Notamacropus eugenii: one gene and its partners. The protein of the gene in region 1 purifies or fractionates together with the protein of each later gene. This does not show direct contact. Links are inferred from orthologs where the notes say so. Each region holds a gene or a part of one and is shown in the gene's direction. Other genes may lie near its edges.

Region 1 (7,847 bases):
TGTCTTCTGCATTAGACTGAGATCTCCTTGAGAACAGGGACTCTCTTTTATTTTCTTTGTTATTGGTCAGTCATTTTAGATTCTTTGTGACCCCCTTTGGGGTATTCTTGGCAAAGATACTGGAGTGGTTTGCCATTTTCTTCTCCAGATCATTTTATAGATGAGAAAACTGAGGCAAACAGGGTAAAGTGACTTAGCCAGGGTCACCTAGCTAGTAACTTTCTAAGACTGAATTTGAACTCAGGTCTTCTTGACTCCAGGCCTGGCACTCTATGCACTGTGGTACCACTTAACTGCCTCTTCTCTTTTTATATGCCCAGCCTAGTCCAGGGTCAGGCACATAGTAGGTACTTTAAAAATGCTTGTTTTCTTTACTTAAGTGCTGGTGATACAAAGACAGAAATAAAAACAAAATCTGAACTAGAACACTATGAAAGGACAAACAAGATGGATCAACGGGAAAGGTGTCCCTGAGAAAGAACTGACAAGTTTTGGATACTGACAACTCATTGGCTCTGGTAGGGTAAAGGGGAGAGAGTCATTAAGGATGACACTGAAGCTGAAACCTGGATGAATGGAAGGATGGTGATGCCCCTAACAAAAACAAGAAAGATCAAAGAAAGGGAATTGGTGAGGGAAAGGGAAATAGATTCTGTTTAGGACATGCTGAGCTTGAAATGGACATCCAAGTGGAGATGTCCAACTGGAAAATGTGGGAAAAGTGGAATGTTGTAGGAAGTCTCAGGAAATAAGAAGTTTATATGGTTCTCACATGAAAGAGTATGACAGAAAGAGACAGACGGACAGAGAGAGAGAGAGAGAGAGAGACAGAGACAGAGACAGAGACAGAGAGACAGAGAGAGAGAGAGAGAGACAGAGAGAGAGAGAGAGAATCAGTCCAGAGAATTTCATTTGGAAAGAGATCTGGACACCTCTAGCCAAATTTCACTTATGGGCAAAGATTGTGGTGGGTATATGTAGAATCCCTGTTCTGAGTTCTTTCTCTCCATTCAGTGGTGCTCCTTCAAGTGAGCTAAAGAAACGAAGCTCTAATTATGAGTTTTCTGGCATTTGGAGTATGTATGGGGGAAGCAAGAGCCTTTCCTTGGTTCTGAAAACTATACCTCAGTGGAGTGGTGGTCTACTCATATTAGTATAAGAGAATTAGGTGCCACAGCAGATAGAACACTGGGTCTGAAGTCAAGAAGACTTGAGTTCAAATCTGAACTCAAACGCTCACTGTGCAGCCCTGGCCAATACACTGACTGACTCTTCTGTCTGCCTCAGTTCCCTCATCTGTAAAATGAGGATGATAGTAACATCTACATCCCAGGCATGTTGTAAGGATCCAATGACATCACGTTTGCAAAACACTGCCTGGCACACAGGCACTTACTAAATGTTTTTGTTTCCTTTTTACTTGAAAGGATTGAAATGGATTAAAACATAGGGTTTGAAGTGGGTCTAGATGGAGAGAGGCTTAGTGAGGAATCTTGAGGAAGGGGAGGTTCTGGTTGTAAGCATTTATTAAGTGGCTGTTAGGTTAGGTACCTGAGCAGTTGTATGGTACAATGGACAATGTGCTGAGCCTGGAGCTGACTTCAAACCCAGCCTCAGACACTTACTAGTTGTGTGACTTTGGCCAAGTCACTTCATCCTGTTTGCCTCAGTTTCCTCATCTGTAAAATGAGCTGGAGAAGGAAATGGCAAACCACTCCAGGATCTCTGCCAAGAAAGCCCCAAAATAGAGTCACAGAGAGCTGGACATGACTGAAAATGGCTGAACAGCAATAACACATATTGGGCATTGTGTTAAATGCTGAGGATACAAAAAGAGACAAAAGACAGTCCCTGCTCTCAAGGACCTCATAATCTCATAGGGGAGACAACATGAAAAAAATACGTACCTACACACAAACATGGTCAATACAAGAAAAGTAGGGAATAATTAAGAGAGGAAAAGCACTAGAATGAAAAAGGGTTGGGAAAGGCTTCCTGTACAAGGTGGGATTCTAGTAGGGATTTTGGGGAAGCCAGGGAGGTCAGTAATGGAGGAGAGGAAAGAGAACATTCCAGGCATGGCAGAAAGTCGAAGAGAATTCCCAGAGCTGAGAGGTGGAAAGTCAGGAGACCAGAGTCACTGAATCAAAGAGTACCTGGTGGGGAGTAAGGTATAAGAAGACAGAAAGGGTCTCAGTCATGAAGGGCTTTGAATGTCAAATAGAGGATTTTGTATTTGATCCTGGAAGCAGCCACTGGAGTTTACTGAGTATGAGTGTGGGGGGAGGGGTTGGGGTGACTGGACCTATGAATGGTGGATGGATTGGAGTGATGAGAGACTTGAGGTAGGCAGACCCACTAGCAGCGACTGCAATAGTCCAGGTGTGAGGGGATAGTCCAAGCGCGGGGGGGCGGTGTCAGAAGAGAGAAGGGGCATATTTGAGAGATGTTGTAAAGGTGACTTTGACAGGCCTTGGCAACAGCTTGGATATAGGATTGAAGAGATACTGAGAAGCCCAGGATGACTACTAGGTTGTAAGTCTGGAGGACTGAGAGGATGGTGTTGCCCTCAACAGTAATGGGGGTGGGTGGGGTGGGACAGGGAGAGTTTAGGGAGAAGATAATGAGTTCTGTGTTGAGTTTAAGATGTGTGCTGGACATCCAGTGTGAGATGTCTGAAAGGCAGGTGGAGGTGTCAGATCACAGGCCAGCAGAGAGGTTGGTGCAGGGCAAGCAGATTTAAGAATCATGAGCACAGAGGTGGTCATTAAAGCATGGGAGCTGATAAGATCACCTAATGGAAGCAGCCCAGAGGGAAAAGAGAAGAGAGGTCCAGGACAGACCCTGAGGGAGGATCCAGAAAAAGAGACAAAGGAACTTTGGAGAGGGGGACTAGACGGATTAGTCGATCAATGAAGAAGCATTTATTAAGTTCCTACTGTGTTCCCAACACTGTTAGCTGCTGTGGATACAAGGAAAAACCTGATCTCTGTCCTCATGGAATTTGTCTTTTTAAGGAATGAGGGAAATAGGGGAGTTGAGAAGCTCTGGAGGAAGAATGTTCAAAGGGCATGGAGTCCAGGAGACTGGGCTTCCGATCCTGCCCCAGATCTTTGCTAGCTGTGTGACTCTGGGCAAGTCACTTATCCCTCACATATTCCCTTGTCTCTAAAAGGAAGAAGCTGGACTGGTTTGTCTCCAAGATCACTTCTGGGTCTAAATAGATGATCCTTATAAGCTCCTGATGGTTTGTTTGCCTTTCTTTGTACCCCTGGGGCCTAGCACAGTGTCTGGCACATGGGGAGCACTTCCCAAGGGCTTGCTGGTTTAGCTGTGATCATGATCCTAAGGTCTGGATTGGGAGGCACGAGGAGAAGAGCAAGGTGAAGCTGGGAGATCTGGGGAAGGGGAAGGTCGCTGGCCAACAAGGCTAGGACAAAGAGAAGGAGGTCTAGAGGAGGAGCGCTGTGGCCAGGGTGGGGGTCCGAGGGAGGAGGGTCTGGCCAGGGTGGGGGTCCGAGGGAGGAGCGCTGGCCAGGGTGGGGGTCCGAGGGAGGAGCGCTGGCCAGGGCGGGGGTCCGAGGGAGGAGCGCTGGCCAGGGCGGGGGTCGGAGGGAGAAGGGCTGGCCAGGGTGGGGGTCCGAGGGAGGAGCGCTGATCAGGGCGGGGGTCCGAGGGAGAAGGGCTGGCCAGGGCGGGGGTCCGAGGGAGGAGCGCTGGCCAGGGTGGGGGTCCAAGGGAGGAGGGTCTGGCCACGGGCCGAGGCGGAGGAGCGCTGGCCAGGGCGGGGGTCCGAGGGAGGAGCGCTGATCAGGGCGGGGGTCCGAGGGAGGAGCGCTGGCCAGGGCGGGGGTCCGAGGGAGGAGCGCTGATCAGGGCGGGGGTCGGAGGGAGAAGGGCTGGCCAGGGCGGGGGTCCGAGGGAGGAGCGCTGATCAGGGCGGGGGTCCGAGGGAGGAGCGCTGATCAGGGCGGGGGTCCGAGGGAGGAGCGCTGGCCAGGGCGGGGGTCCGAGGGAGGAGCGCTGGCCAGGGCGGGGGTCCGAGGGAGGAGCGCTGGCCAGGGCGGGGGTCCGAGGGAGGAGCGCTGGCCAGGGCGGGGGTCCGAGGGAGGAGCGCTGGCCAGGGCGGGGGTCCGAGGGAGGAGCGCTGGCCAGGGTGGGGGTCCGAGGGAGGAGGGTCTGGCCACGGGCCGAGGCGGAGGAGCGCTGGCCAGGGTGGGGGTCCGAGGAAGGAGCGCTGGCCACGGGCCGAGGGGGAGGAGCTCCTGCCTCTCCCCAGGAGGGCGGCTCGAGCAGCGGCGCCGCGTCCTCCCTCCCTGCAGGGGGCGCTGTGGGCGGGGCCGGCCCGCGGGGCGGGCGGCCGGGGCCCCTCCTGCCGAGCTCGGCCCCTTTTCCGGGTTTCCTCCGCCGCCGCCGCCGCCTCCTCCTCCTTGGCCTCCGTCGCCGCGGCCGCCGTCGCCGCTCCTCCTCCCCGCCCGCCTTCCGCCCTTCTCCCGGCCGCCCCCGCCGGTGCGGCCGCCGCCGAGGAGCGCGGGACGCGAGCGGAGCGGAGCCGGGGCCGCCGCGGAGCCGCAGCGCGAGCGCCCTCCCGCCGCCGCCGCCCGCCGGCCCGCCCCGCCCCGCCCTCCGCCCGCCGGCCGCTCCAGGGCCGGGGCGGCCCGGCCAGGCCGGCCCCGCCGCCCGCCCCCGCGGACCCGGCCTGGCTCGGCCGCCCGTCTTCGCCGCCCTCGCCTGCGCCGCCGCCTCGTCGCTGCTGGGCTTCCTGCGCTCCGCGCCCCGGGGCCGCCGCTCGCCGCTCCTGCCGCCCCTGCCCTCGTCGCCGCCCCGCGCCCCCCGCTGCCGCCCGGCGCCGCCCGCCATGCCCGGCCCGGCCGCCGGGAGCAGGGCCCGGGTCTACGCCGAGGTGAACAGCCTGAGGAGCCGCGAGTACTGGGACTACGAGGCGCACGTCCCGAGCTGGGGGTAAAGGAGCCGCCGCCGCCCCGGGCCCATGTGCTCGGGCCCCCGGCCCCGCGGGAGGAGCAGGCGCCCCGGGCCCCGGCGGGGGGCGGCCGAGGCCGCGGGGGGCGGGGGGCCCCGGGAGGGGCGCTGGGGAGAGGCCGGGGCCAAGTAGAGTCGGGGTTCTTACCCCGCTCTCCTCCCAGTGGGGGGGAGGGTCTATTAGAATCGGGGTTCTTACTCCCTCCCAGTGGAGCGAGGGTTAATTAGATTCGGGGTGTTTCCTCAAGCCCCCTTTCCAGGGGAGTCCTTACCCCATCCATTCCAAGCCCCTCCCCTGGTGGACCAGGGGTCAATGAATCGGGGTTCCCACTCCATCCCCTGCCTCCCGTGGAGAGGGGCGTTTGCTAGTCAGAGCTGGGGTCCCTATCCCATCCCCCCTCTCAGCGGAGCACGGGCCCCTGAGATAGGTTCGGGTTCCTGCAGCGTGGCTGGTTAGAGTTCAGGGGGCCAGGGAAGGGCTTGTGGCCGAACGCGGTCCCCGGGCTCCATGTGGGTGAAGTGTGTGTGAGACAGGATTGCAGTAGTTCCGTGGCTCAGACGTGTCTCTTGCTTTCACAGTAATCAGGACGATTACCAGCTGGTTCGGAAACTTGGTCGGGGAAAATATAGCGAAGTGTTTGAGGCCATCAACATCACCAACAATGAGAGAGTGGTTGTCAAGATTCTCAAGGTGAGTCAGGTTCCTGTTGATGGTCACTCTCAGGAGTGTAGTGATAAGAGCAATAATAGCTAATAATTCTGTAGGTCTTGAAGGTCTGCAAAGCCATTGCCATGTCTTCTCTCCTTTGAGCCTCACCATCCCGATGATAGCATGAGCTGTTTCCCCATTTTGCAGATGAGGAAATTCAGGCTCAGAGGCTGAGTGACTTTCACAGGATCCCATAGCTAGCAAGTGTCTGGGGCAGAAGTCTGGCTTGAGTCTTCCTAATTCCAGGTCCAGTGCTCTATCCACACTACTACGTTGTATTTAAAATTTCATTGTAGTTTTCTAGTTCAGAAGCAAAACATTCACCACCATCTTCCAGGGTAATAAGTGATATTTCATTATGCAGAAGAGATTATTTTTGCTTTCCATCCAACTGAAAATCTTACATTAATCTTTCCCATCTCATTTTCTATTCACCGCCAAAAAATGACAAACTAGGGGTAATTTTGACACAAATCTAGCGTAGTGTTTTAGGAATGGATGGGACCTGTGACTAATAGAAAGATTCTGGTTCCCCCCCCCCCCCCCCCCCCCCCAGTGAACATCTCAGGTTGAATTCCATTACCTGTTTTTTTAGTTGCCAAATCAGTAGATTGTCCTCAGAAATTAGTTGGCTTATTTCCTGTACCTTCCTTTGGGCAGAGTTTGCTTGAGCATTATTTTACGTTTAATGGATGTTCTTATTCATTTATGAGAGGAAATTTCATCTGCCGATGAGGATTCAAAGGTTGAATGATGCTGGTCAGAGGTGGCAATGAGCATAACCTGCTCATTTGGTTCTGGGATGATGTGCTGTGAGGTCATGATGTAGTATCTTGGGATGTTTATTAGTTTGTCAGGAAAAGTAGAACATGGACTCATTTGGAATAAGTCAGAAGGAGGAGCCCTCTGGAATCAAGTGTTGCCTCTATGGTAGCTATTTTCCTGGCAGAAATCAGTGCTACAAAAGAATAGAGCTCCTAAAACAACAATTTGGGTTTGGCTTTTTTAATGGAGGATGTAGTGGCATGCTCTTACAGCCATGGACCTTTCTGTTAACTCTTACATAATTATCACCCAGCATAGCCACAACAAACAAATACTTGATTGAAGTTTCCCAGGTTGATAGTATATTTGGGTTCTGACTCATGATAATGTTTGATAACGGGCACAGCATAGAAACTCTTGGAATCTGATAGGTGCTTATGGCAGGTCAGTTCTGATTTATTCAAGTAATTATGAAAAATAAAGGGAACTCAGTGAAATGAGCACAGCTGTTACCTAGGCCTTCCTGGTCTAGCAGCATTTTGAGTAGATTTGCAGAATAAGAGCAGGATTAAAACATTTTTCATGTCTTAGTGTTAGTACTATCTATGAATGATGATCCTCATTTGATGTGTATTCTTGAGTTTCTACTCTGGCAATACGGAGGAGGCAGTGGGTCACAATTTCCCAACAGTGATCCATCCTGCTGCTGGTGGAGCAGGAAAGTAAGTGCTGTGGCACAACCAGGCAGGGCCGATGATAGATGGAAGCTGACTTTCCTCTTTGTTAACACAAGGGATCACCATAATGCAAGGAATTTTTTAACACTGCCTTTTTTGTAAGTACTGGCCTCTTCCAAATAGTCATCTTTCAAGTTCTAGATACTTTTTCTAAGGATGTTCTCACTGCACAAAACATTTTAGAAACTCCTTCCTCTTGGGATTGCATCCAGAACTGGCTATGAGCATGACAAAAAAATCAACCTCATTTTTCTACCTCTTTTTTTTTTTTTTTGACCCATCATGCTGTTCCCCAGCTTGAGCACCCGCCCTCACTCACTTGAATTGGCTCCAGATGCCTTTTGGTTATTTTCTTTACTCTTGAGGGTATTTGTTCTGAAAGCTTTTTTTAGAGTTTCCAAAAGTGTTTTGAGTAAATGGCAACTTGATTGGAATATGTATATAGCATTGTAAGGTTGACTACTTTGAAGAGCCTAATGTAGTTGTTTGTAGATAAATCTTACCTATAAATTGAGAAATGTTTATTTTAAAAGTCAGTTTAGTTCAATAGTTACACCTTATAATAATTCTGAGTATTGGCTTCACTGGGCAATTATACCCATCCCCCTAATCAAACTAACACTTGGCTGTTCAATCTCCAAATAGTTTAGTGAGAT
Region 2 (7,642 bases), on another chromosome or scaffold:
TCTGGGAGAGTGAAAAAAAGAATGGTGTTGACTTTAACAGAAAAAGAGAAGATTGGCAGAAGGGTGGGGTTTTGGTGTCTGTCACAGAAGTAGGCTATGGAATCTCAAATTACAGAAGCGGATTATGGAATCTCAAGTCATGGAAGCAGGTTATGGAATCTCAAGTCATAGGGAAAAGTAAGAAGACCAGTTAGGTGAGAGTGTGGGAGAAGGAGTAATTTATAATCTGTCTGGAAATAGCACCAGATAATGAAGGAACTTTAATGCCAAACAGAGGAGTTTATATTTTATTCTAGGGCCATAGGGAGGAGTTAAGCTTTTTGATTATGTTTAGATCTATGCTTTAGGGATATCCATTTTTTTTCAGTCAGTCAACAAATTAAGCACTTACTATGTATCAGGCATGGTGCTAAGCACTGGGTATACAAAGTAATGCAAAAGACAGTCCTGGTCCTCAAGATACTCAGTCTAATGGAAGAGACAACAAGTAAACAAGTTATATATAGGATAAACAGAAAATAGTCAACAGAGGGAAAGCACTAGAATTAAGAGGGATTGAGAAAGGCTTCCAATAGAAGGTGGGATTAAGAGTAGACCTGCTTCAGGTAAAATGGCCTAAAAGACCCTAACCTCTATTTGAATGTAATTATGAAAGTACTACATTTCCCAGGATACCTGGGTCCAGAAAACAAAGATGGATTACAGACATCATTTTGAATGAGATCATGGAGATGATAGGCTTTTGGGAGGAGGAGAGGGACATTCAGGAACACAAGTAGCCACGGAGCACCCCTGAAGCTCCACAAAGCAAGGAGTCATACTAGGTACAGAGAGATAGTAAGACCAGCTGCCTTCTAAGCAGAAATGTGGATGTTATATTCACTTCATTTTACAACCTCTTATTTCAGTTACAGACAGACTTTATGTAAAACTTCCCCATTGGAATTAGAATTATTTAAATGAGTTAAAATTCTAGGCTACTTTTGGGGAAGGGGTATGGGCCATTTACTGAGAACATGGGTGGCGATTGCTTTCCACTGCTTTTTGTATATTTCTGACCTGAATGAATATTTTGTTGTTCCAATGCTGTATGTACTGAATGTACTTCATTCAGTATGTGGCCCAGGAGCTCAGGGGGAATGGAGGACAGAGAGAGATGCAAGATTGATGGTTAGGGGAGCTCCTGTTTAGGCCATGCAATCTGCCCCTCTGGTGCATTGTTACAACTTTTAGGACTTAGAACTTTTAAAAGTCTTTTCATTTATCCTGCAACTGAACTCTATAATATGTTGTTTTTCCTCACCCTACCATCCCTCAAGTGTGTACTTGACCATAGATTGTCTTTCTGTAGTTGTCATCCATCCCCAGTACTGAGCATAGCACTTGGTACTTAGTAGCAACAGGAATTCAATAAATGTTTTTTCATTAAAAAAACAACAACAAACCTTCCAGCTCTAAATCTGTGACCTGAGATGAATAAAAGAGACAATTTACAGGACCAGGAGGAAAAGAACTTTTACAATCATTTAATCTAATTCTCTTTTTACAGATGAGGAAACTGAGATGCAGAATAGTTAAGTGATTTTTCCAAAGTCATCCTATTATAGATTAGCCAGGATGTAAATCCAGGTTGGCTAACTCTAAATCTAATGCTTTTTCCATCATACCATCAATCCATATTCTTTTCATCCATAGGTAAGTGGCATAGTGGCTAAAACCACTGACCTGACGTCAGGAAGACCTAACTTCAAATTAGGCTTCAGACCTTCATAACTGTGTGACCCTGTGGGAAAGTCACTTAACCTTTCCCTGCCTCAGTTTCCTCAACTGTAAAATGGGGACAACAATAGCACCTACTTCACAGGGTTGTGTGTCTCAAATGATATTTATAAAATGTGCAACGGTACAGTGGCTGGCACATTGTGGATGCTCAATAAATGCCTTTCTCTTCCCCATCTTAGATTTATAAATCAAATCTAGATCAGTGTAGGCTTTACCCTAAGACAGAGGCTCTTAACCTTCTTTGTGTCACAGACTCCTTTGGCAGTCTGGTGAAACTTAATGGATACCTTCTTTCAGAATAATATTTTTAAACGCATGAGATAAAACACATAGGATTACAAAGGCAAGAAATTAAATTTATTATATTCAGTTATTACTTTTTTTTTTTTAAAGACCCCAAGTTAAGAACCCCTACTATAATACTCGGAACATATCCAGATAGGTTGGAATCCAGCAATTTCAACTTTATGATGAAATTATTACAATTTGCAATCTGTTACGTTTATAAACAGTCCTTTCCTTGGATAGATAAAACTACTAGTGACGCATTTCATCTGTGGTCTGGTATTGATTTCTGAATTTATAACTTACTTTGCACAAGTCTCCAAAACACTCCAAGGAATGAAAAACAGGCTGTCATAAATGCCCAGGAAGTAGCCCCAAACTACCTCCTTCAGCTCCCTTCAGCAAAAGCATTAGATGGCTTCTCATTGCCTATATGATGAATATCATGTGTCTTAACCTGGCTTCCAGCATCTTCCATAACCTCTTTGCCATCTACATCTTCCATTTCAAGGATTCCCCTTTACTCCCGCTGAACAGGTCACTTCTCTGTCCTTTACACATGACATTCACAATCCTGCTTTTGGGTGTTTTTTCAACATATCTTTTTCCTGAAAAGGGACATTCTCCCTTCATCTCCTCTTCTAACTCCTACCGAAGAGCACTTCACATAAATACATTACTTCATGTGACAATTCTGAGAGGAATCAGAGTCCACAGTTATATATAAGGAAACTGAGACATATTTAACTTAATTGACTTAGCCCTGAGTTATGACAACTTAGAGCCAAGGTGGAATTCCAGCCCAGGTCTTACTTTAAAGCCATCAGCCGTCCAAAGTCCTCCATGCCAAGGCAAATCCGGGCTAGATTTCTCCTGAACTCTCAACAGCCATGGTTGTCCAAACTCTGGGTTTGCCCCTTTGCTGTATGCTACCTTGCGTGGGTTATAAGCCTTTGAGGGCAAGGACTTTGCCCCCCCCCAATCATTTCTTGGAGGGGTCTAGGCACATCAAGCACCATACTGTATGGTATCAATGATGGGGAGGAGCGGGCATTCTGATGGCCAAATTCCTTTTTCTGTTTCTCAGTTTCTTCTTGCCCAAAAGGAAAGGTTGTTTTGGGTCTCTAGGGTTAAATTCAACCCCAAACCCTGTAATAATACCCCCCAGTAATTAAGGGGCAGCACAGCGAGAGGAAGTCAAGCCTTTATGACTTCATCAAATTGAGGGAGACTCAAGGTGGGTGGTCAGGAGAAGAAGATAAGAAGCTGCCCACTGGCCACAAAGGGGCCATTAGGGGTAGGTGGCAAGGTCACTCACTGGATGCCCAAGTCAAGCCAGACTCCACGTGTCCCCTGCCCCCGCCCTCCACCACGTCACAGAAAGAAAGAAAAGGCGAGGAAAGTGGGGCTGTAGGAGCATCCTTAGGCCACGTGTAGTTTGGTGTGACGTCACCACGCTGATAAGAAAAACTGGTACTGCCCCACACCAGAGCTCGTCATGACGTCAGGTGACGTAGTAGCGTCGCCATAGTGTCATGGCGCGGCGTTCTGTCGCAGAGGTCGTTTGTATGAGAAACTAGCTTGGACAGGGTACTTCCTATCCGGGTCTCTCTAGGAGTCAAGGAGGAGCTGCCCCTCCCTCTCTAAGTCTTCATCAAATAGAAACTGAAAACTCTTTCATATTTGCATAGATGAAGACAGGCCAATGGGCTTTAGGAGAACCGAGGGACGTCGGAGAGCAATCTACTCCAGTGGAGAAAGAGGGAATCAGGCCGGGCAGTTGGTAAGCGACTGAAGCTTCCTCCAATGAACTTTAAGAAGCTCAGGTAAGAGGGATGGGCACGTTTCGTTCAGGACGGCGACCAATGGCGAGAGGGGTCCTCTGAGTGACGAGGGCCCCGGCCCAATGAGGATTGGAGGAGAGAGGGAACTTCGTCCAGAGCGACGTCAGCCGAAGCCACTAGTATCTGACGATGGGCGGGGCTAGAAAGCGAGCGACGGGCGTGACATCCAATGGCGAGTGCAGAAGCAGGCGGCTCCGGCCAGGAGCGCCGAAAGGGTTGAGGGAGGGGGAAAAAGCTCTACAGTGGAGAAGCAGGAAGTAGCCGCGGTGAGAAACGGAGGCAGCGGGGAAGGTGGCGGCAGCGGCGTCTGCAGGAGCTGGGTAAAGACCGCATAGTGTCAGCCTGGCCCGGGACCGGAACAAGTAAGCCCGCCCCGGGTAAATACCCGCCTCCGGCCCCGCCCCCTCCTTGGGGGCGGGTAAATACCCTCCCCTCCCCCACTTGGGTAAATCCCCCCTCTCTCGGGGGGAGGCGTCGGGGGGATTGGGGGTGGAAATCTGTACCGTGAGGATGCTGCTCCGCCGCCGCCGCCGCCCACCTGGGTCCGGCTTGGGGTGGGTGAACCCCCGGCAGAACCGCGCTCCCGGCAAGCCAGGTAAATACCCGGGGGACCGGAGGCACCTCGCTGCCGGCCCCTTCCCCCTAGTCTCCGGCCCAGGGCGGCGACCGGGTCCCGGGAGGCCGCGAGGGAGCACGACCCAACATGGTGCCTGCACCCCGGGGGAGAAGGAGTCGCGGACCGGCAGCCCTCCTTCCTTTCCTTCCCTCCCGACCCCCGCTGACCGGCCGCCCCGAAAGACGCGCCCGGGCCCGGGTTCGAAGGCTTGAGGCCTGCGGGTCAGCCCTCCCCCTCCCCCAGCTCGCGCCTCCCAGGGAAGCTGATGTCCTGAGGCCCCGCCCCGCCCCACCCCGCCTCACCCCACCCCAGGGGGCCCTGGGAGAAGCCAGAGCCGGCGAGCCGGGAGGGCGTCCGAGCTGGCCCCGGGAGCCCCGGACCACGGTCGGTTACGGGCGCCCTGAGACGCGGTCCTGAAACTCCTGCCAAGGAGAGGAGGGAGTGGTGGGCCCCGGGGCGCGAGCCGCCGCAGGCTGGCCGCTTGTGTGGGGGCCTCCAGACCCCTCCCCCGCCTGGCAGCCTCAGTTTCCCCCTTCGCCTTTCCCCGGCTCTGCCTCGCTGCGCTCCTCCGAGCCTGTGCCTCAGCAGATGGCAGGGACTTAATTCCGCCCGCTGCCCAGCCAGTCTGCAGCCTAATCGCCTCGTGTGCGCCGGCCGCGGCCCCTCCCGCCCCTGCCCCAGTGCCAGGCCGTGGGAGCCCGTGGAAAGCGGAGCGCTCCTGCCCTCCCCTCCCCCATGTGCCCCGAGCGGCACTCGCCCTGTTGGGCCTCCCCTTTGGCTTTTGGGCAAAAACTGAAGGAAAAGCTCAGAGGGGTGGGCGGCCAACAACCTGGAGACTCGGAGGCCGGAGAGCGCTTTCCCTTGAGTACCAGGCTGCTTCTGCCTTTGGAAGTGGATGGCTATGGGACGACTTCAGAACCTAGCCTGATTCCCCCCCCTTCCCCCGCTAGTTGCGGAGAGGGGTGTGTGAATGAAGTGGGGTGTACTCTTCATAGTCTGCCACTCCTCTTCCACCTGCCCCAAGGAGAACTGGGAGGACCTCTATGAGAAATAGCCAGGCAGCTCTTAGGAGAGCTTCCAGTTAGAGACTAAAGTAAGGGACTTTGCTGAAGAATGGGAGAGGATTCCCCATTTTGCCTCAAGCTGGATAGGTTTACCCCCTCCCCCCTCCACTGGCTCCCAGAGGTCCCTCCACTAGTACCTGCTGCCACCTGCAGAGACCATCTCCAGTTACCATCCTGGGTCTGGGGACAGGTGAGGGAACTGGCCCCTGGAGGACCAAAGGCATCTTGAGAAAAGAGAAAGGGGAGGGGATTTGTGGAGGTAGAGACTCCGTCAGCTTTGTTTTTGCAGAGATTGGCCAAATTTCAATTCTTTACCTCTTTTTTTTTTTTAATAGGGGTAGAAGGGGGTAAGATATTGAAGGTTACTTCTGTTTTACGGCCTTGGGACAGAGTGAGGGACTGTGGCTGGGTTTGAATGGAATTAGTTGCCACCAAGATGGTTTGAGAAGCTTTTTACCTTGGCAGCCTAAGGGGGGTGGGGGTGGGGTCCTGTCTCTCCTTCAGCCCCCTCTTGAATCCTAGGTTAATTTCTTTGGGGCAGTGTTGCCATTAAGTTCTCCTATGCATCTTGGTCCCTTGTCCTGGGAAGAAAGGAGAAGAGAGGAATATGAAAAAGAAAGGAGGGGCTGGCTGAGGGAAGTCTGTGCCACTCTAGGGAAGGCTGGGGAACTGAGCAGCAGGTGTTTGTGACTGAGGAGAGGCCCCAGAGCTGGGACTTTTGTGACAAGATCTACTGTCATTGTCTCTGGATCTCTCACCTAATCTCTCTGTATTTCTGTTTTCCCTAGTCCATTTTCCACATTGATCAGTTTATGTTCCCTTCTAGTTAAGAATCACCCCAGTTGGCCCAGATTTGAATTTATGGGATAACCATGGATGGTCTCAAATGGTCCCAGTCTCAGATTTCCATTGCCCACTCATCCTAATCCTTAGCAGATCTAAGATGTCCTTATTTGATCTGAAATCCAATTTTTATTTGATTTTATCCTTAAAACAGCTCTGTAGGGAGTTGGAATCATTCTCTGCCTTTTATAGGGTGGGGAAGCTGAAACCAAGTGAAACTTGTGATGAGATTAAACCTTTCTTGTGTCCCATCCTATTGCTCTGACCACTTGGCCCAATTCCTTTCTCATCTCTGTGGGCTTCCTTTGACCCACAGATGACCTTGATTGATCCTGTGGCCAATCTTGAGCCTTAACAGTTATTGATTAATTGTTTTTCTTTGCTGGGTACTGAGCTGAGTGATGGAGTCACTTCAAGGATGGGTCCCATGTCTGTATCTAAAACCTCAGCTGATTTCAGCCCTCTGTAAACTCTCTGAATTCCTCAGGACCCTTTCTGCTATATACATACATGCCTGCACACATCCCCATCTCTTTCTCTGACTTTCTGTGTTTACCTCACTTCATTGTCTTCAGCTTCCTCCTGCTATCCCTTCATATCCCTCCATAGCCCTTCCCTCCCCTCCCCTCCATCCTTCCCCAGCAGCTCTTTTGGACTTTCCCCTGCTTGAATCTTCAAGGTGCTGATGGGGGTCATCTGTGTCTCAACTCAGCCTCCCTGCTCCCCGCACTGACATCAAGCCAGTACAGGCTCTCATCACCAATTACCTGGTCTCTTGCAATAACCTCCTAATTATCTTCCTGACTCCGTTTCCATACCCTCCCCGGCCTTTAATCCATTCTTCATGCTGCTGGCAGAAACATTTTTCTTAGAGATGGTCATTCCGCTTCTGATAAAACTTCATGGCTTCCTTTTGCTTATCAAGGGATATTTAAACTGCCCATCATTATTCTCCTTTTCCAACCTTATGTCCTATCTCTCTCTTCTCTCTCTGTTCTGTGTTTCCATGTCAAGTCCATGCTTTCCCTCCCTTCCTGTCCTGGAAATGCCTGACCTTCCTTTCATCTCCTGATGGATCCATAGACATGTTTTACAGTCCAAGCCTTCCCTGCTCCCCCTGATTGGCTATTACTTTTTTCCTTAGGATATTGTTTTAGAATTCTCATATCCCCCCAGAATCATAAGCTCATCGATATAGACCTGGAAGA
Region 3 (7,560 bases), on another chromosome or scaffold:
CCCTGCTCCCACCCCTCCCCACATACACATTCAGCCTTTGCCTCCTGCTGAGCTGTAGGGCTTCCCTCACATCTGGGCACAGATGTTTAGCTGGAAGCTGAAGCAGATGGTGGGGAGAGAAATTTCAGGAATCCCAGAATTCCAGGATTTCTGGGAAATTCCAGGAACCCAACCACCTGCAGCTTGGAAAGGGGCCAGGTACTATGGGCTCCCCAGGGTTGTGAGGCACCTGAGGGGAGGGAGCAGTTCCTCTGGCATCTCCCCACCTCCTCTGCTACAGTTCTTCCAATGGAAACCCTGGAGTGCCCTCCCTGACCTGCCAACTAGATGTCTGTAAATGGCTTTACCTTTCTACAGTAAAGAGGGAGATGCATCCCTCACAATTCCCAAGAAATTAACCTCCCCTTGCCCCCAGGTAGTGCAGGAGTATCTGCCAACCTTGCTGCATCTCTGAGACTATTCTGAGATAAGGGGCTAAGAAACCCCTAACTTAGGAAGATCTCTAATCTGTGGGACCTAGATGCCTGGGTCCTAACCCTTGATGAGCCCTGCCCTAGCTGTTTTCTCCACACTCTCCCCAAGGCCACCCTGTTCCCCCAAAGAAGGCACCAGCCTGCACCCTGGTACAACCCTTGAAAATCCTTTTCCTTCTAGGCCCTGATCAGCTGCCACCTCCTCCAGGAAGCCTGCTGTGAGAGGGATCTGGGTTTCTGCAGATTTTCTCCAGATATTCCCTGAGCTCCTAGTCTGGATCCTCCCTTTGCTCTCATCACATTCCACCTTACATCATACTCACCTGTGTTCTGCATATATTGCTCCTAGTGGGTGGGAGGCTCCCTGAGGACATCATTTTTCTTTTTTGCAACATAGCTCAGAGCACAGCACTTTAGCAGGGCTACGATAAAATAGCTAGCACTGTCTTCCCAAGCTTTGCCATATTCTTCACTAATAATGCCATCAGATTTCATCACATTCGTGTCCTAAACTTTGGTCATTTCCCATTTGATGAGCACCCACTGTTTCCAACTCCACCACTAATAAAAAGTGTGACAAAAATATTTTGGTATATATGGGTTTTTTTTTTCTCTCATTGACTTCCTCGGGTTATATGCCTGGGTTAAAAGGTATGGACATTTTAGTTTATTCTCGGTGACTTTTCAGAATGGTTTTCTGGACAGCAACTTTGGAAGTATTCAAGAAAAAAGAATTAAACTGTGCATACCTTTGACTCAGCAATTCTACTGCTCAGAATATGCCCCAAGGAGGTAAGAGACAGAAACAAAGGTCTAATATATACGAAAATGTTCATGGCAACTGTCTGTGTTAGAAGAGAATGGGGGAAAAGATACCTATTAATTGGGGAATGGGTATGAAATTTATAAAATATTACAGTAATGGAATATTATGCCCTAAGAAATAATAGCTAGCTAACATTTATCTAGGGGCAGCTAGGTAGTGCAGTGGGTAAAGCACCAGGCTTGAAGTCGGAACGACTCAACTTCCTGAGTTCAAATCTGGCCTCAGACACTTCCTAGCTGTGTGACCATGGGTGAATCATTTCACTCTGCTTGCCTGAGTTTCCTCCTCTATTAAATAAGCTGGAGAAGAAAATGGCAAACCACTCCAGTATCTGTGCCAAGAAAATCCAAGATAGTGTCAAGAAGAGTCAGGCACGACTGAACAATAAAAACCATTTATGTGGCACTTCAAAGTTTGCAAAGCATTGTCTGTACATTATCTCATTTAATCTTTACAACAAGCCTGGAAGGTAGGTGTTAGTATTATCCCCATTTTGCAGATGAAGAAACTAAGACAACCAGATGTTCTGTTGCATAGCTTTTAAGTATCATTGGCTGGATTTGAACTTGGGTGTTCCTCACTCTTCCAGATCTACTGCACCACCTAGATGCCTTTAAGATACGATGTGCACCGCCCCCTCTTGGCCCCTTCCCACAATTCAGCACTCAGAGATTGGGTCTGCCCCTGACTCAAGGTATTCTGTGAGGCAGTACTTCTAAAAAGACTTTGTGGCAGAGCAGAAAGCAAGAGCAGAAGTAGCAGCAGGCAGCATCCAGAATGGGACTCAGGTTTTTCACAGGCTGTTTTCCCAACAGACCTACTGGCAGTTGGGGTGGTGGCTGGGTCCGAAAGGGGATGCCTCCTGGACCTGTGCCCAGGGGTAAAGCCACGTTCCTCCTGGTGGGGTGGGGTGTGGGCACGCAGCCGGTCAGTGTTGAGGGAAGGGATATAAGGACCAGAGAGGCTATGGCCAGGAGCCAGGCTGGAGCTGGCTGCCCGGGCAGCAGATCCGGACCCGAGTTCAAGGCCTGAGTCTGCCACAGATCCGTAGTCCTCATCATCTGCAGGCAGTAGGTCAGTGCTAGTGACCCAGTTTTGCTAACACCTGAATCTGGACCGAGAGAACCTTTGGTTTGATTCCCAGCTGGGTTACTTAATACATAAGACCTGGGACAAATCCCTAGGCTTTAGTTTACACTGCAGTAAAATGGAGCCACCAGATCAGATGATATTTAACAAAGAAACAAGCAACAAACATTTAACACCTGCTTGCTGCCTGGAGAGGCACTTTGATGAGCTTGGACATATAGAGGCCATAAGGAAATAGTCTCTGCCCACAAGAAGCTTACTTTTTAACAGACAATGTGCACATGTGCAACCCAGTAAGGACTGATTCCCACCCCCCTCCCCAGCGACAGTGGAGGGCTTCTGCCCTCCCTGGGCTGAGGAATCAGTCTTTGGACTGGACACAATGAGCCCCCTGGCCCAGAGTGATTCCATGGCCTTTACTGAGCTGGCATCCTCCAGCTTAGCCATTTTCCTGACCAGGTCCTAAAACTTACTGAATCAGTGCTGGTGAATCCTACGGAGTGTTAGGTTCACTCACTCTCTGGGAGAGGGTAAGAAGCCCTCACCTGGGCACTGCTCCTCATGCCCATTGAAGGTAAAGCCATTATGGTCATACTAGTCATTCTGTCTCCAGAAGGGAAAGTGAGGAGCAGACCTGACTCTTTGCCCCCAGAGCCCTCTGAGCTCCCCTAACACACTTCTGGTTTTATTTTCATACTTTGCATTTCCCACTTCGCTGAAACATAATTATGACCACAAAAACAGAAAGAGCAAAGCTCTAGAGACATGTGACTTGCATGGTATGTGCCCTCCCTCCACCATGGCAGATCACAGGCTGTCTGTAAAGTGGGTGGCCACCTTGGGGAGCCACCCAGCCAAATCACTGATCCCCTGCCACTGCCCTGGAGACCAGTCCTTGGCTCCTCCCTGGACTGTCTGTCCCTGGCCTGGCCTCCAGAGGGCTTCGGTCCTGGGCTGCCTGAACCAAAGAGCATTTCTGTCCTGTTTTATGCCACCAGGGAAACAACCACTGAGATAATAACTGGTTTTCCTCCCAGCACACCCTGCGTTCTTTTTTCCTACTCAGCCCTCTGTCTGACCTCAGATGAATTAGGCCACTTCTAAAAAGAAATTAGCAAGAAAACGATCCCGGGGATTCAGAAGGGCACCGCTGAGAGGTAGGACACCTGGGTTCCCTTCCTAGCTCTGTGTGACCTTGGGCTTTCCCTTCCCGTCTCCGGGTTGGTTGCCTTCACCCCATGAGGAACCAAACAAGCGGGCATAGAGGGAGCTCTTCCTCCGTGCCAGGCTTCGTACCAGCTACAAGTAAAAAGAACAAGCGCATCCTCTTGCACACAGTTTCCATCTACCCTGTAAAAGCTTATCACATCCATTCCGGGCCAGCTCCTTGCCTTCCTCTGTTCCCTAGGGGGCCCAACCCGTGCCTGGCAGGTGCGCACTACAAGGACTCGGTCAAATGCGGGTCAGCAGCCTCGTTACTCATTCAGAGCACCTGGGCCTGCCCCTCCCTGTGCAGGGGGGAAACTGAGGCAGCCCAGTCTCGGCTATTCGGGACTAGAAGCCTGGCGGACTGGTACAGGAAAAAGCATCCCCTCTGCGTAGCCACTCTCTAGCTGGGTGTCTCTGGGGGAGTGGCTTCGCCAGTCCGGCCTCAGTTTCCCCAGGTGCCCACTGGAATGGACTCCGAGGTCGCTTCCAGCTCCATCCTGAGGATTCTTACTTTAGGCAAAGGATTTCATTGCTCTGAGCCTCAGTTTCCTCATCTGTACCACGGGGAAGGGGTATGGATGTTAAGCTCCCCAAGCGCTCTGCGCGGTGTGTACACGTAGTAGCCTTGTCCCTTAGTGGCAGCGCCAGCTCCTAGTATTCCGCCCCGGAGCGCTCGGGCCTCAGGAATAGGGTTCGCGGACCCTTTAAGGAGGCCCCACCCACGCGCCGACGCACAGGTGAGTGACGTCGCTGGACGGCCAATGGGAGTGCGCGCTGCTGGGGGGGGGCGGGGCGGGCGGCCACGGCCCTGGGGGCGGGGCTTCGGGCCGGGCCGGGCCGTGACCATGGGCCGGGAGCGGACTCGGCGGCCGCTCGAGGCCGAGCCCGAGCTGGAGCCGCAGCCGGAGGCGCCGAGGGAGCGGAGCGGCTGAGAGGCCCGCCCGCGCCGTCCCCCCGCCTCCCTCCGGCCGGGCCGCGCTGGAGCCCGGCGGCTGCTGCTCGGCCCCGGGCGGCCCCCTCACGCCGCCCAAGAAGATGAAGAAGCGCAAGGAGCTGAACGCGCTCATCGGCCTGGGCCCCGGGGACGGGCGCGGCCGGAGCCGCCGCAGCCGCCGGGCCTGGAAGGGCGCCGCGGGCCACCGGCTGCTGCGCACCGAGCCGCCCGCCTCGGGCTCCGCGTCCAGCTCGGAGGACGAGGACGAAGACGACGACGACGAGGACGAGGACGAGGACGAGCGCGGAGGGGGAGGGGGAGGCCCCCGCGCGCGCTTTGCCAGGTGGGAGGGGGCCCCGGCGGGGGGCGGGGCGGGCACCGGGCAGCCCCCTCCCCCGGAGAGCCCGCGGTCCGGCCGGGACACCGGGGCCACACGGGAGTCGTAGCCCACGGCCGCCGAGCCCCCCCAGGGCCGCGGGCCCTTCCTCCCCGGGCTCTGGGTCGGGGGTGTCAGCCGCCCCAGGCCCGGGCGTCCCCCGCGACTCGGCGCCTGTTCGTTTGCAGAGGAGACTATTTCCGCTGCTGCAAGGTCTGCTACCCCCTGTGCGCCTTCGTGATCCTGGCGGCGTGCGCCGTGGCCTGCGTGGGCCTGGTGTGGATGCAGGTGGCCCTCAAGGAGGACCTGGACGCCCTCAAGGATCAGTTCAGAATGCGTGAGTGGGAGCTTCGGGAGGAGGGGGCTTCGGGGGCCTCCCTAATCACCGCCGGTCCCTGCTGTGTGCCGAGCACCCGGAGGCACCCTAGTGTTTGGCCAAGGGCCCCCTTGCTGGCCCCACCTGGGACGACTAAATGAAGCGTTCGGGCCCCCCGGCTGGGGCTCGGGGCTTGTCTGCTCCCAGCGCGGGGTCCGCTCCGCGCCCCATGAAGCACCGCAGGAGGACGGGTGAGAAGTGAGAGGAAGCCCCCGGCCTCTTCCTCCCTCTCTGACCCCGGGTGAGCCGCTTCCATTTTCTGGGCCTCTGTTTCCCCATATGTCAAGTGAGGGAACAGGGCTGGATGAGCTCTGACCTCTCATCCTGCTCTTTCCACCTCCCCCGCCTGCGAAGGGGCAGCAGGCTCGGTGCTTGTTCTCTTTACCGACCTTCCTGGGATCTTTGAGATTACTGCGAATGACTTTGAATGAAGTGCTTTGAGCCCAAGATCCCCAGAGAAACACAGGCCATAGAGCCTTTCGGAGCAGTAGGAGAGAAGGATCCTAAGCCTGCTGATGTCAGTGGGGGCTAGGTGGCAGGCTGTGGGCGCAGAAGGAGGCGGTGCTGCCAGACTGGTCAGTGTGTTTGCTCTCCTCCGTGTCTATTATAAGAGAGCGTTCTGTTGGGTGGAAATGGAGATCAGGATGCGAATGACAGCTGTGTGTGTGTGTGTGTACAAGAAAATGTTTCTAAACAGTTTCCATGGGCCCAAGAAGGAAAACTGGGCATCTGCCAGCATCTTCATGGCCAGGGTCAGTGAGTTTGGTTAATTAGGTCAGCCTCCATCCTTCTACCTTTCCATCCTCCTCTCATCCCTTCTAGATTGTACTTTTATTCATAGTAGTCTTTTACAAGTTGTAATTAACTTTGCCACATGTGAATGTTAATAGGATGTTTCCAAAAGTAAGGAGCATATTTTATTGGAAAACAGTTCACTTCATTACTTGTTTATTGAGGCCCTGCCAGGCACTAGAGGGACAGTGGTCCCCACAGGAGCCACAAGTACTTGGGCCTTGTCCACACTGGCCCTCCCACAGGAGGGGACTTGAGGGTGTGCTTGGCAGAAGGGAGCAGGCAGGCGTCGTCCAGTCAGGAAGGCAGCCTATGAATGGACTTTGGAACCACTCCCTGCTCTTCAGAAAGTCTTAACTTCATAGACTCGTAGGAGGCTCTGAAAGACAGCTCAGCCTTAACTTTGCCAGAATATGACTGTTCTGAGTTAAAGATCTCTAGTGATTGGGGATTTACAGCCTCCACAGAGGGGCCTCCAGCCATCTAGGAGGAGTCCCTTGGCAAGGACATTTCTCCTTTTATATCAACCTGCAACTTTGCAAAGTAGTTTCCCTTAAAAATAGTGCCTAGCGTCTCACCATCTTCTTGGCAGCCCTAAACCTTTAAGATAGTACTTAGGCGAGCTGGCCGCTTGTCATAACTGACAAGAAAGCTAGCTACCCCTGACAGCATCCTTGTAGAGAAACCATTCCAAGAGTCCTTGGCACCAGGGATCAGGAGGAAATGCCTCCTGCCTTCCCATCCATGCCTAGGGGTTCCTGCCATCACAGGGTACCTCTAGCCCAGGCCCTTGTCTTTGTTTGCTGTCCACGGTCATTCAGGCTCCCAGTCTGTCCCAAGAATAGTTAGCCCTTAATAAAACTTCCAGAGGACCTTCCTCGGAGAAGGAGAGAATGCTGCTCATGGTTCTGAGATTTTACTCAGGGGACCTGTAGCTGTTCTCTTGGGAGCCTGTATGTCCATCCTACCCATTCTCTTCATCTGTGTAGAATCAATTTGTGATGGAGTGGGAGTTACATTTGAGTTGATTTTCCTTTTTAGCCCCTGTCCAGTTCGCTTTGCCAGCTGGTAGTGGTTGTTGTGTACTCCGGTCCAGCAGTGTGGGTCCTAACCTCAACTGCAGGGTGTGTTTTTCAGAACTTGGGGACCATGATTGCATGGGGGCAGGAGGTGGTTTTTGCTTCCCTTCCAGCTGTGGCCTTTTTGTATCTCTTTAGCTAGATTAATGAAGTAGTTGATCAGAGCCATTCTCCAGACTGAGTTTGTCCATTCTTGGGCTGCAGGGCCCAGATGCTTCAGTGCAGTAAGGCCTGGCCCATTACCTCTGCCAGCATGCCCATAAGAGTCCTGGGCACCTCTGCCATAGTGAGGCACTGGGGAAGACTTTGGTTTAGGAGAAGCTTGATTTGGCTTATGCTTTATAACTGCCAAAGACTCCTTCTGCCCTGACCCTCTTACAGCTTTGTGCCCTTTACCATGAGCTGG
Region 4 (8,056 bases), on another chromosome or scaffold:
AATTGCAGATTTCTAGGCTTTAACACAAACACCATCTTTTGGGAGCCATTTTTCAAGCTTGTTTCCAAGTCACTGGAATCATTTTTCAGTTACTGTTGAGCGATTTCATAAATTACATGCATACTCTTGAACCAACGTTGCTTCAAGTAATGTGGTTTTTAAAAGTAAACAGTATTAGCAGGACCCTCTAAAAGTAGTTCAATGGGATTTTGCCAAGGGAAAGTTTCACCGGGACTTTTAAAATACCCTATAAAAGGGGTTCAGAATTTTTTAGACCTGACAATTATTTGGTATGGATGGTAATTTCAAAATCTTTTAAGTGAATTTAGCAATCATGTTGCTTCAATGAGATTATTGATATACTTTTTTTAAAAAAAGCTGTACTAACTATATTATTGCATGTAATTGTATGTAATATATTGCATATAAAGAAATGACTTTAGATGACTGTTTTAGCCAGAAATAAGCATGGCTATATATATATATATATATGTATATGTATGTGTACATATATATGTACATTACATATATATGCATATATACATACACACATATTAATATTGATATATGATGAATGGAAAGGGACCATATAACTTATCAAAGCTTTTTTTCAGGTTAACCAAATGTTAGTTCTACACTATTCACTGTGTCTTTGTCTGAAGCATTTCTGTGAAACTATCAATTGCAGAACAGTTTTAGGTATGTATTGGCAGATACAGTTTTTTCACTGGAGTTCTCTATACCTACGAAATGACAGGCCCAGGTTAAAATGAATTAAAATAAAATTATAAGCAACAATAACATTTATTGGGTTTAATATTTTTCCTGTATAATTTGAGGTTTTAGATATAATAAAAGGAAAAGCCTTCTGTTGACTGATTAATGACATAATTAGGTTTTTTGGGAGCCTCTTTTTAAAGTTATCTTTGGTTTTCATAACACACACTCTCCACTTGTGGAAGATCGTCTGATGACATCGTGGTTTTAGTTATCCTCCATGCCTGGTATATGTGCCTTCTTCACCTCCCCTTCTTCCAATCCTTCATTTCCTTTGAAATTCAGCTCATGTGCTGCCTTCTACATGAAACCTTTTCTTTCTCTTCAGCTGCTTGTACCTTCCCCTCCAGAAATCACCTTGCATTAATTTCATATATATTTTGATTTCTTTATATATGTGCATATCATCCCTTGTGATAGAGTCAGGACCTGTTTCATCTTTATATTGGTTCTCCAGCACACAGCATAGTGTCTGTCCCATAGCTGCTGCTTAATAAATGTTTATGATTGGTTAATTAAACTCCTGGTCATAGGATCCAAGGAAAACCTGCTTTCTCTATAGTCTTCTCAGTAGGTAATAAAAAAAGTTTTGAGGTGGAGAGTTCAGCAATGTTAATGAACACTGTTCCTAAAGTCACAAGACCTAGACTGGAGTCAGGGCTGTGAAATTAACTCTGGAATCCTGAGCAAATCATTTAACTAGTCTCAATTTTCTTACCTGCAAAATGGAAAAAATAATATTTACACTATCTTCAGGACAGGGTTGTTTTGAGGAGGAATGTAATGTGCATACTGTAAAGTCACTTGATTAGATATTTGTAACATGAAAGAATGACTTCAGAATTCCAATATTACTTCTATAGCTATATGTAATGTACTCCTAAAATAGCAAGGCCAAAGGAAAGAAGAGAAGTATTATTTTTTTAATAATGTTAATTTAATTCAATAAACAAGGAGTCATGTAGTATCTGAAATCACAAGACCTAGTTTGAAGACCAGCTTTATTGCTTGCTATCTGTGTGACTTCAGGAGCATCATTTAACCTCTCAGAAACTCGGAGTCTTCTGAATGAATGACAGTTCCACCAAACTCTAAATCTATGATTTATTGAGTATGTACTATGTCCAAGGAGGAAACCAACTAGAACTTTCATGCTCTTCTGCCTCCTCCTCCTCCTAAAATAGTACAGTTTGGCCACCATGAGTTCACTACACTTTAAGTGGGATGATGCTAGTCATCTGGTTAATTTATGGAAAGAAAAAGAAAAACAGAAAATACTGAGTAACTTTCAACCATATAATATGGGGATCCCCATCTTTTCTTGGTGATGAGCTACTGGAGTATTGCTTGTAAGCTCGAGCACCCTGGGCATCCTTCTAGGGTGGCAGCATAACACACTTTATGCCAAGAGGTTCAATAGCAGGGGGTATAATGCCAGTCTTTTTTTGACTCATTTCCATATCCTTAGAGATCTCAGGCTCTCTTGTTCTATATTTTCTTCCTTTTGATTCTCTTTAAAGGAATCCCCTTCCCCCATTTCCTTTTCCATTGTGTCCTCCTAGAAGGAAAATTCAGAAACTTTTTTGATTATTGACAGTTCTATTGGCCAACCTTTACTTCTTCCATTGCTGGAATAAGTGCCTGTATTAGGGTCAGTTCACACGATTGATTTATCACTTCACACTCATAAAATATAGGTAAGAAAGCAGAGAAGGCAGTATAGTTCTGGCTGTCACTTAAAAGCTATACGATTTGGAACAACTCACATGGTCCACGTGAGCTTCATCTGTAAAATGAGGCTAATACTTAGACTATCTCCCTCCCCACTAGTTACAAAAGGCTTTGCAATCAGGAAGTACTAAGTTAATGTTAGTGATTGTGATGACTCAATAATTAAGCTTAATATATACAGAGTATCCAACCTTCCTGATAAGGTGTCAGACAAAAGAAACCTGAACCCAGTCTAAGTACCCAAGAAAAAATTTCTGAATTGATAACAGCTCACAAAATGTTTCCATGTGTAGAAAACCTATGTATGTTACATGAATTCAGGGATTCTTAACAAGGTGTCTGGGAACTTTTAAAAAATAGTTTAATAAAAGCATTTCATTATAATTTGTTTCCTTTGTAATCCTATGTGTTTAGTTTTATGCATTTAAAAACATTATTCTGAGAAAGGGTTCATATGCTTCATAAGACCTCCAAAGAGGTTCATGATACAGAAAGGTTAAGAAGTCCTATATTATCAGATTAGATGAGAAATAGTATGAAACAGTAATGTTGTTACACTGACAGTCTTGTTTTAAAGATGCTTTTGTTTCCGTTAACTTCTAAGGATGGTCCTCACCTTTCCCAGCCTCTGCACTAGCAAATGCTTTCTCTTCTCCTCACTCTCTGGATCAGAAGTGCAACTAGTAATTCTTGGACCTAGGGCAGAGGGTTTGAAAGAAAGGAACAGACTTTGACCACACCTATGTGTAAGTGAGAAACTGGAGACAGAGGTCATGGGAGTTGAGGGAGTGTGATACGGATGATAAGCTATCAAAGAATACTTAAGAGTGGTCAGACAGGTAAAAGATCCAGTACAGAACTGTGACATGAAAACAGAAAAAGCATCCAGCAGGGAAGGGCACTTGACAGTGTCAAATGCTGCAGAGAGATCAAGAATGACAACTGAGAAAAGATCAGATTTGTCAACTAAGAGATCATTGGTAACTTCATAGGGAGCAGTTTTAGTTGAGTGATGAGGTTGGAAGCCTGAATGCAAAAGGGCTGCAGAGTGAGTGAGACTAGAGGAAATGGAAGCACAGAACGTGTTAGCTTTTTCTAGTAGTTTGATTGTGAAAGAAAGGGGAGAGGAGAGCTCCTGAGAAGACGGTAAAGTCTGGTGAAAGTTTTTAAAGGACTAGATGGAAGGTTCAATACAGTAGGAGCTCTGGTGGTGGTCAGAAGTGGCTGCCCAGTCGGTAAGACTTAATGAGTTTTGAGATATGGTCTGTAAAGAAGTTTTTTAGAGTTATTTAAGACAATTCAACAAATATTTATGAAATGTCAACCGGGAATAACAAAGACAAAAACTGAGATGGTCGGTACTCTACCGAGTTTAGTGGATCCAACGATCATCCACAAATAGTACATATACTACCAAGTTAAAAGAAGCAGTAAGGCCTAGGGCACTCGACAGCACACTAATAAGTGGGGGGATTAAAGCTGTCTTTGAGATTGTGCCTGAAGCTAGGCTTTGAAGGAAGTTAGGAATTCTATCAGGCAGGAGGAGAGAGGAAGGAGTATAGCTTAAACATGGGGTATCATTTGTGCAAAAGCAAAAGAAGTGGGAGATGAACACTGTACTTGGTGAAGGGGGATGCGTAGGAGTCCGGATTGACTAGAACGTGGAAGCAGGTAAAAGGGAAGTAAAATTAAATAGACCGGAAAGGTCAGTGGGAGTCAGCCTGTCTTTGGTCCAGCCAGATGTCAGGAAAACCCCCTTTGCTCGTACTTGCAACGATCCTGGTCTTGGCCACTGTGACATCTTGTGAAGGAGGCAGTGAGGCTTATCTAAAAAGGCAGTGAACTTGGGGTCACGAAAGAGCTGGGCCCGACTCCTGCCTCTGAGCTTTCTCGCGTGTGAAGCGGAGAAGGATGCTCATGCTCATACCTGTGCCCTAGTCCTCAGAGATGGTGTCAAATAATTATGTAAAGCCCTATAATAAAAGTGCCGGCTGCGAGGCTTGCGCCCCGTTGCTTCTCCCCTCTCGGGCAGGCAGGCCCCTCTCTGGTGGCTTTTCTTTCCCGGACTTACCCGAGAGGTGGGGGTTTCCTTCTTGTTCCATCCCCCCTCCCCTCCAAGCCTCACACCCCAGCCCAGGGCCGCGCTCGCGCTCGCGCCCGCTCCTCTTCCCGCCCCGCCCCGCCCCGGGGGCGCGCCCCCAGCCAGGAGCGCCTCGGATCGGGCCCCCCCTCACTCCCCTCGGGCCCCCCCACCCCCCCACCCCGTAGCGGCCCCGCTTCCCGCCCGCCTCGTGCGTCATGACGCCAGCGCCCAACGCGGAAGCCGCTCTCGGCGCGCCTGGTCCAGCCGCGGGCTGAGAGAGGAGCGAGCGAGCGGGCGGGCGGCGGACGCGGCGGCGGCGACTCCTCCTCGGTGGCTGCGGGGCCCCCAGTGCGCGCGGACGCCCGGCGCGGGAGCCGGAGCGGGAGCGGGCGGAGGCGGCGGCCGTGGAGAGCGGCGGCGGGGCCGGGGCCGGCATGCGGCCGCGGCTCCCGGCCGGCGGCGTGTGAGCGAGGGCGGCTCCCCGGCCTCGGCGGTGCGGCGCGGCGCTGGAGGGGACCGAGGCGGCGGCGGCGGCCATGGCGACCCCCGGCAACCTGGTGTCCTCGGTCATGGCGAGCAAGACCAAGACCAAGAAGAAGCACTTCGTCGCGCAGAAAGTGAAGCTGTTCCGAGCCAGCGACCCGCTGCTCAGCGTCCTCATGTGGGGGGTGAACCACTCGGTAAGGGCTCCGGCCGCGGGGGCGGTGGCCGCCTCCCCCTCCTCTGTCCTCCCTCCGTCCTCCCTCCGGCCCCCGGCTGCAGGGGGACACCCTTTCCTCCTCTCCCCTCCCCCCGCCTGGCCCGCGCATCCCGGCCCCTGACGCGGCTGCAGATAACGGGGCCGGGAGGGCTGCGCCCGCCGCGCCGGACACGCACACTCCCCGGAGCCGGGGGGGCGCGCGGGGCTCCGTGGAAGTGGGACTAGGGGCTGCTTGGCACGGGGGAAGTTAGCGGGCGGCGCTTAACCCCCCCTCCAGTGTGCGTGTGCGCCCCCACCCAGCCACCCGAGGTGCGGGGGTGGGAGCTTGCGCCCACCCTGTGGGCACTGGTCCCCATACGGATGGAGAGGCGGCCAGCCTGGGCGCAGTGGAAGCTCCTCCAAGGGAAGATAGAGAGATACCTGTCATTGCGCTGGGTGCGCTCTGTGGCTTCCTTGCAAGTAGGAAATACCGAAGTCTAGGAAGACGGGGCTCGTTTCTTCAGTTTAAGGGCAGTACTGTTTAACATAATGCGGTTGGGGGAGGGGGAGTGCGGAGAAGTGAGGCAAAGAAAAAGACAGCATAGTTACGGCAACTGTGTTTTGAGACCCTTCCCATCCTCCACCGCCTCCCCAAATTACGTTATCCTGCTGTTGACCCAAGACATGCATAGCCAAGTATTCTCTCTCTCCCCAGACCCTTCCTCCTCTCTCTTCTCTCTCTCTTCCCTTTTTTCTCTTCCCTCTCTCATTTCCTCCTCTTTTTGGCCCCTCTGTTGCTCCCCCCTTTTTCTTTCCTTCTTTCCTCTTACCCTCTGACCTTCCTCAAATAACTGCACCTAAGTCACGAGTTACAGAAGATCAGTATTGGGGGGTAAGGGTCTTGAGGGAATGGCTCCGGACATAACCAGCATCCTGCTTGTTAAATATTTGTTAAATTTTATCCCTTCAGCAAAATGCTTTAATGTCTCACTTTAAGAGGTAGCCAAGAGAGTTGAAGATGCACTGCTGTGGGCTATGCGGACTGCGATTTGAGGGTCTGAAGTAAGCCTCATACTGATCTTAGAGTGTGAAACTCCTGCCGTTTTAATCTACTTAGAGTGGATCAGGAAACATGATAGTAGCTGTTGACAGAGCCAGGCAAGTTTAAATGTCTGAATTTTGTTCCTCAAATAATCATCTGAGGTGGAAAGTGAAAGAAAGCTCTCCAGAGTTTGAATTTGGGTTGATTTTATATGCATTCCCTTGAGTCTAAATGAAGGAAAAAGTAAACTTCTTTAGATTGAAAGTCTTTTTAAATGACCCCAAATTACTGAGTTTTTAACTTGCCTTTTTAAGTCGAGGATAGGGAAAGGTGGTTTTATGTGTACAGGTATAGGTCCTGAAGCATGTATGAATTAATTTCGTGAAATTTAGTGTTAAAGAGGTCAAGTAGAATAGTGACTTCTTTTTAGAAGCTGAAGATTTGAGATATGACTAAATCCATTTTAGCCTGACAACTTCTTTTGGTGTTACAGGTGCAAGGTGTCCTCGTTTAGGACAGAAAATACACTATTACACAAAAACTCTCAGGTTTCTTCGCGAAAAAGTTCCTCTGAGATGAATATAATTTTCTGGGATGATATATTTTTGGTGGCTGGTCCCTGAGTGCCGTAGGAGTATCTTGACGGCTATGTGGGACTGTGAAGTTTCTACTCATGAGTTTCTAGACTCTACACATAGACTATATTGTGGTTTCGGTTGTTTGTTGATAGATTTCTCTTTCACAAAGGTTCTATTTTTCTGGTTGAGATTGACAGTGTGAATTGGCTTGTTTAACATAGTAAAATGGTAGTAATTTTACTTTGTACTTTGAAGCAATGTTCTTTCATCTCTTGAGTCGCCTTTAATGGAAGGCAAGTATGCTAGGGAAACATTGTAACAATGGTCATAGCAAGTATGTTGTAACTATTTATATTGTTACTTTGTATTCATATGACTGCTACATTTATTTTGTGGTAAGAAATAAGCTTGAAAAAAATTGGACCAACTGGGTTTTTTGGGAAAATAATTTAGCCTTACGCATTTGATTTTAGGGATCAGATATATAGCATGACATAATTGAGGTATAGAAAAATTAATTTTGGCTATTCATTAAAAAGTCACATATTTGCATCTACTACATAAAAATGAAAAAAAATTGCTATGAATGCAAACATTTCTTCATATACAATGTCTTTGTTTTGAAAACTTGATATCAACCTAAGAAGAGTTCTTGTGTTTATTTGGTCTTAGTTTTTTTTTAGCAATGTCAGATGATTTTCTTTAATTGTATTAAAAAATAGATGAACACACATTTGAAATAGAACCACTCTAATGCCAATTTTATGTCAGTGGACAAAGGCCTGTACAATATTTTGTATTAAAAGTAATTAGTTTTTATAAGCTACTATGCATAAAATTGTGTAATGAGAACTAAATGGCAAAATGTCAACAGAATGAAAAAAAGAGTAAGAATAGCACTGTCAGTTCGTGAGGGATAATGACTAGAAAAAACAGAGCAGGGAAAGACGGGATGGTCTGAGCAGTCCCTTCTTTACTTTTCTAACATAATTGATATTGATAGAAAATATATTCACTTTAATTGTTTTAATCTGACTGTATATTTTAGCAGCCCTGATCCATGTTAATTTGGACTACTAAAGGAAAGTGCATGTTTGTTTTTCTGCTCTCATCAGGCATCAAGTTATAGTAAAAAGTTCAGTATACCTGAGCCTTTATGCAGTCTT

Evidence for each region.
Region 2: the proteins of CSNK2A2 (region 1) and ZNF687 purify together in Homo sapiens (affinity purification with mass spectrometry; 6 studies listed by BioGRID and IntAct, counting the BioPlex papers as one, with this or other methods). This does not show direct contact. The link is inferred for Notamacropus eugenii from reciprocal best matches to the Homo sapiens genes CSNK2A2 and ZNF687.
Region 3: the proteins of CSNK2A2 (region 1) and EFCAB14 purify together in Homo sapiens (affinity purification with mass spectrometry; 4 studies listed by BioGRID and IntAct, with this or other methods). This does not show direct contact. The link is inferred for Notamacropus eugenii from reciprocal best matches to the Homo sapiens genes CSNK2A2 and EFCAB14.
Region 4: the proteins of CSNK2A2 (region 1) and PIP4K2A purify together in Homo sapiens (affinity purification with mass spectrometry; 3 studies listed by BioGRID and IntAct, with this or other methods). This does not show direct contact. The link is inferred for Notamacropus eugenii from reciprocal best matches to the Homo sapiens genes CSNK2A2 and PIP4K2A.

The regions. Positions count from the first base shown.
Region 1 is NC_092872.1:715,884,631-715,892,477, forward strand, and holds the start of CSNK2A2 (casein kinase II subunit alpha'), read left to right. Parts: upstream 1-4,716; 5' UTR 4,717-4,858; coding exon 4,859-4,962; intron 4,963-5,559; coding exon 5,560-5,671; intron 5,672-7,847.
Region 2 is NC_092873.1:305,102,972-305,110,613, forward strand, and holds the start of ZNF687 (zinc finger protein 687), read left to right. Parts: upstream 1-4,389; 5' UTR 4,390-4,421; coding exon 4,422-4,506; exon of another isoform or gene 4,507-4,526; intron 4,527-5,004; exon of another isoform or gene 5,005-5,781; intron 5,782-7,642. UniProt on the Homo sapiens protein: May be involved in transcriptional regulation.
Region 3 is NC_092873.1:507,796,424-507,803,983, reverse strand, and holds the start of EFCAB14 (EF-hand calcium-binding domain-containing protein 14), read left to right. Parts: upstream 1-4,426; 5' UTR 4,427-4,632; coding exon 4,633-4,874; intron 4,875-5,095; coding exon 5,096-5,244; intron 5,245-7,560. Other genes in the region: cytochrome P450 4A25-like, read right to left, coding at 3,685-3,733.
Region 4 is NC_092874.1:63,584,285-63,592,340, reverse strand, and holds the start of PIP4K2A (phosphatidylinositol 5-phosphate 4-kinase type-2 alpha), read left to right. Parts: upstream 1-5,042; 5' UTR 5,043-5,127; coding exon 5,128-5,271; intron 5,272-8,056. UniProt on the Homo sapiens protein: Catalyzes the phosphorylation of phosphatidylinositol 5-phosphate (PtdIns5P) on the fourth hydroxyl of the myo-inositol ring, to form phosphatidylinositol 4,5-bisphosphate (PtdIns(4,5)P2). Has both ATP- and GTP-dependent kinase activities.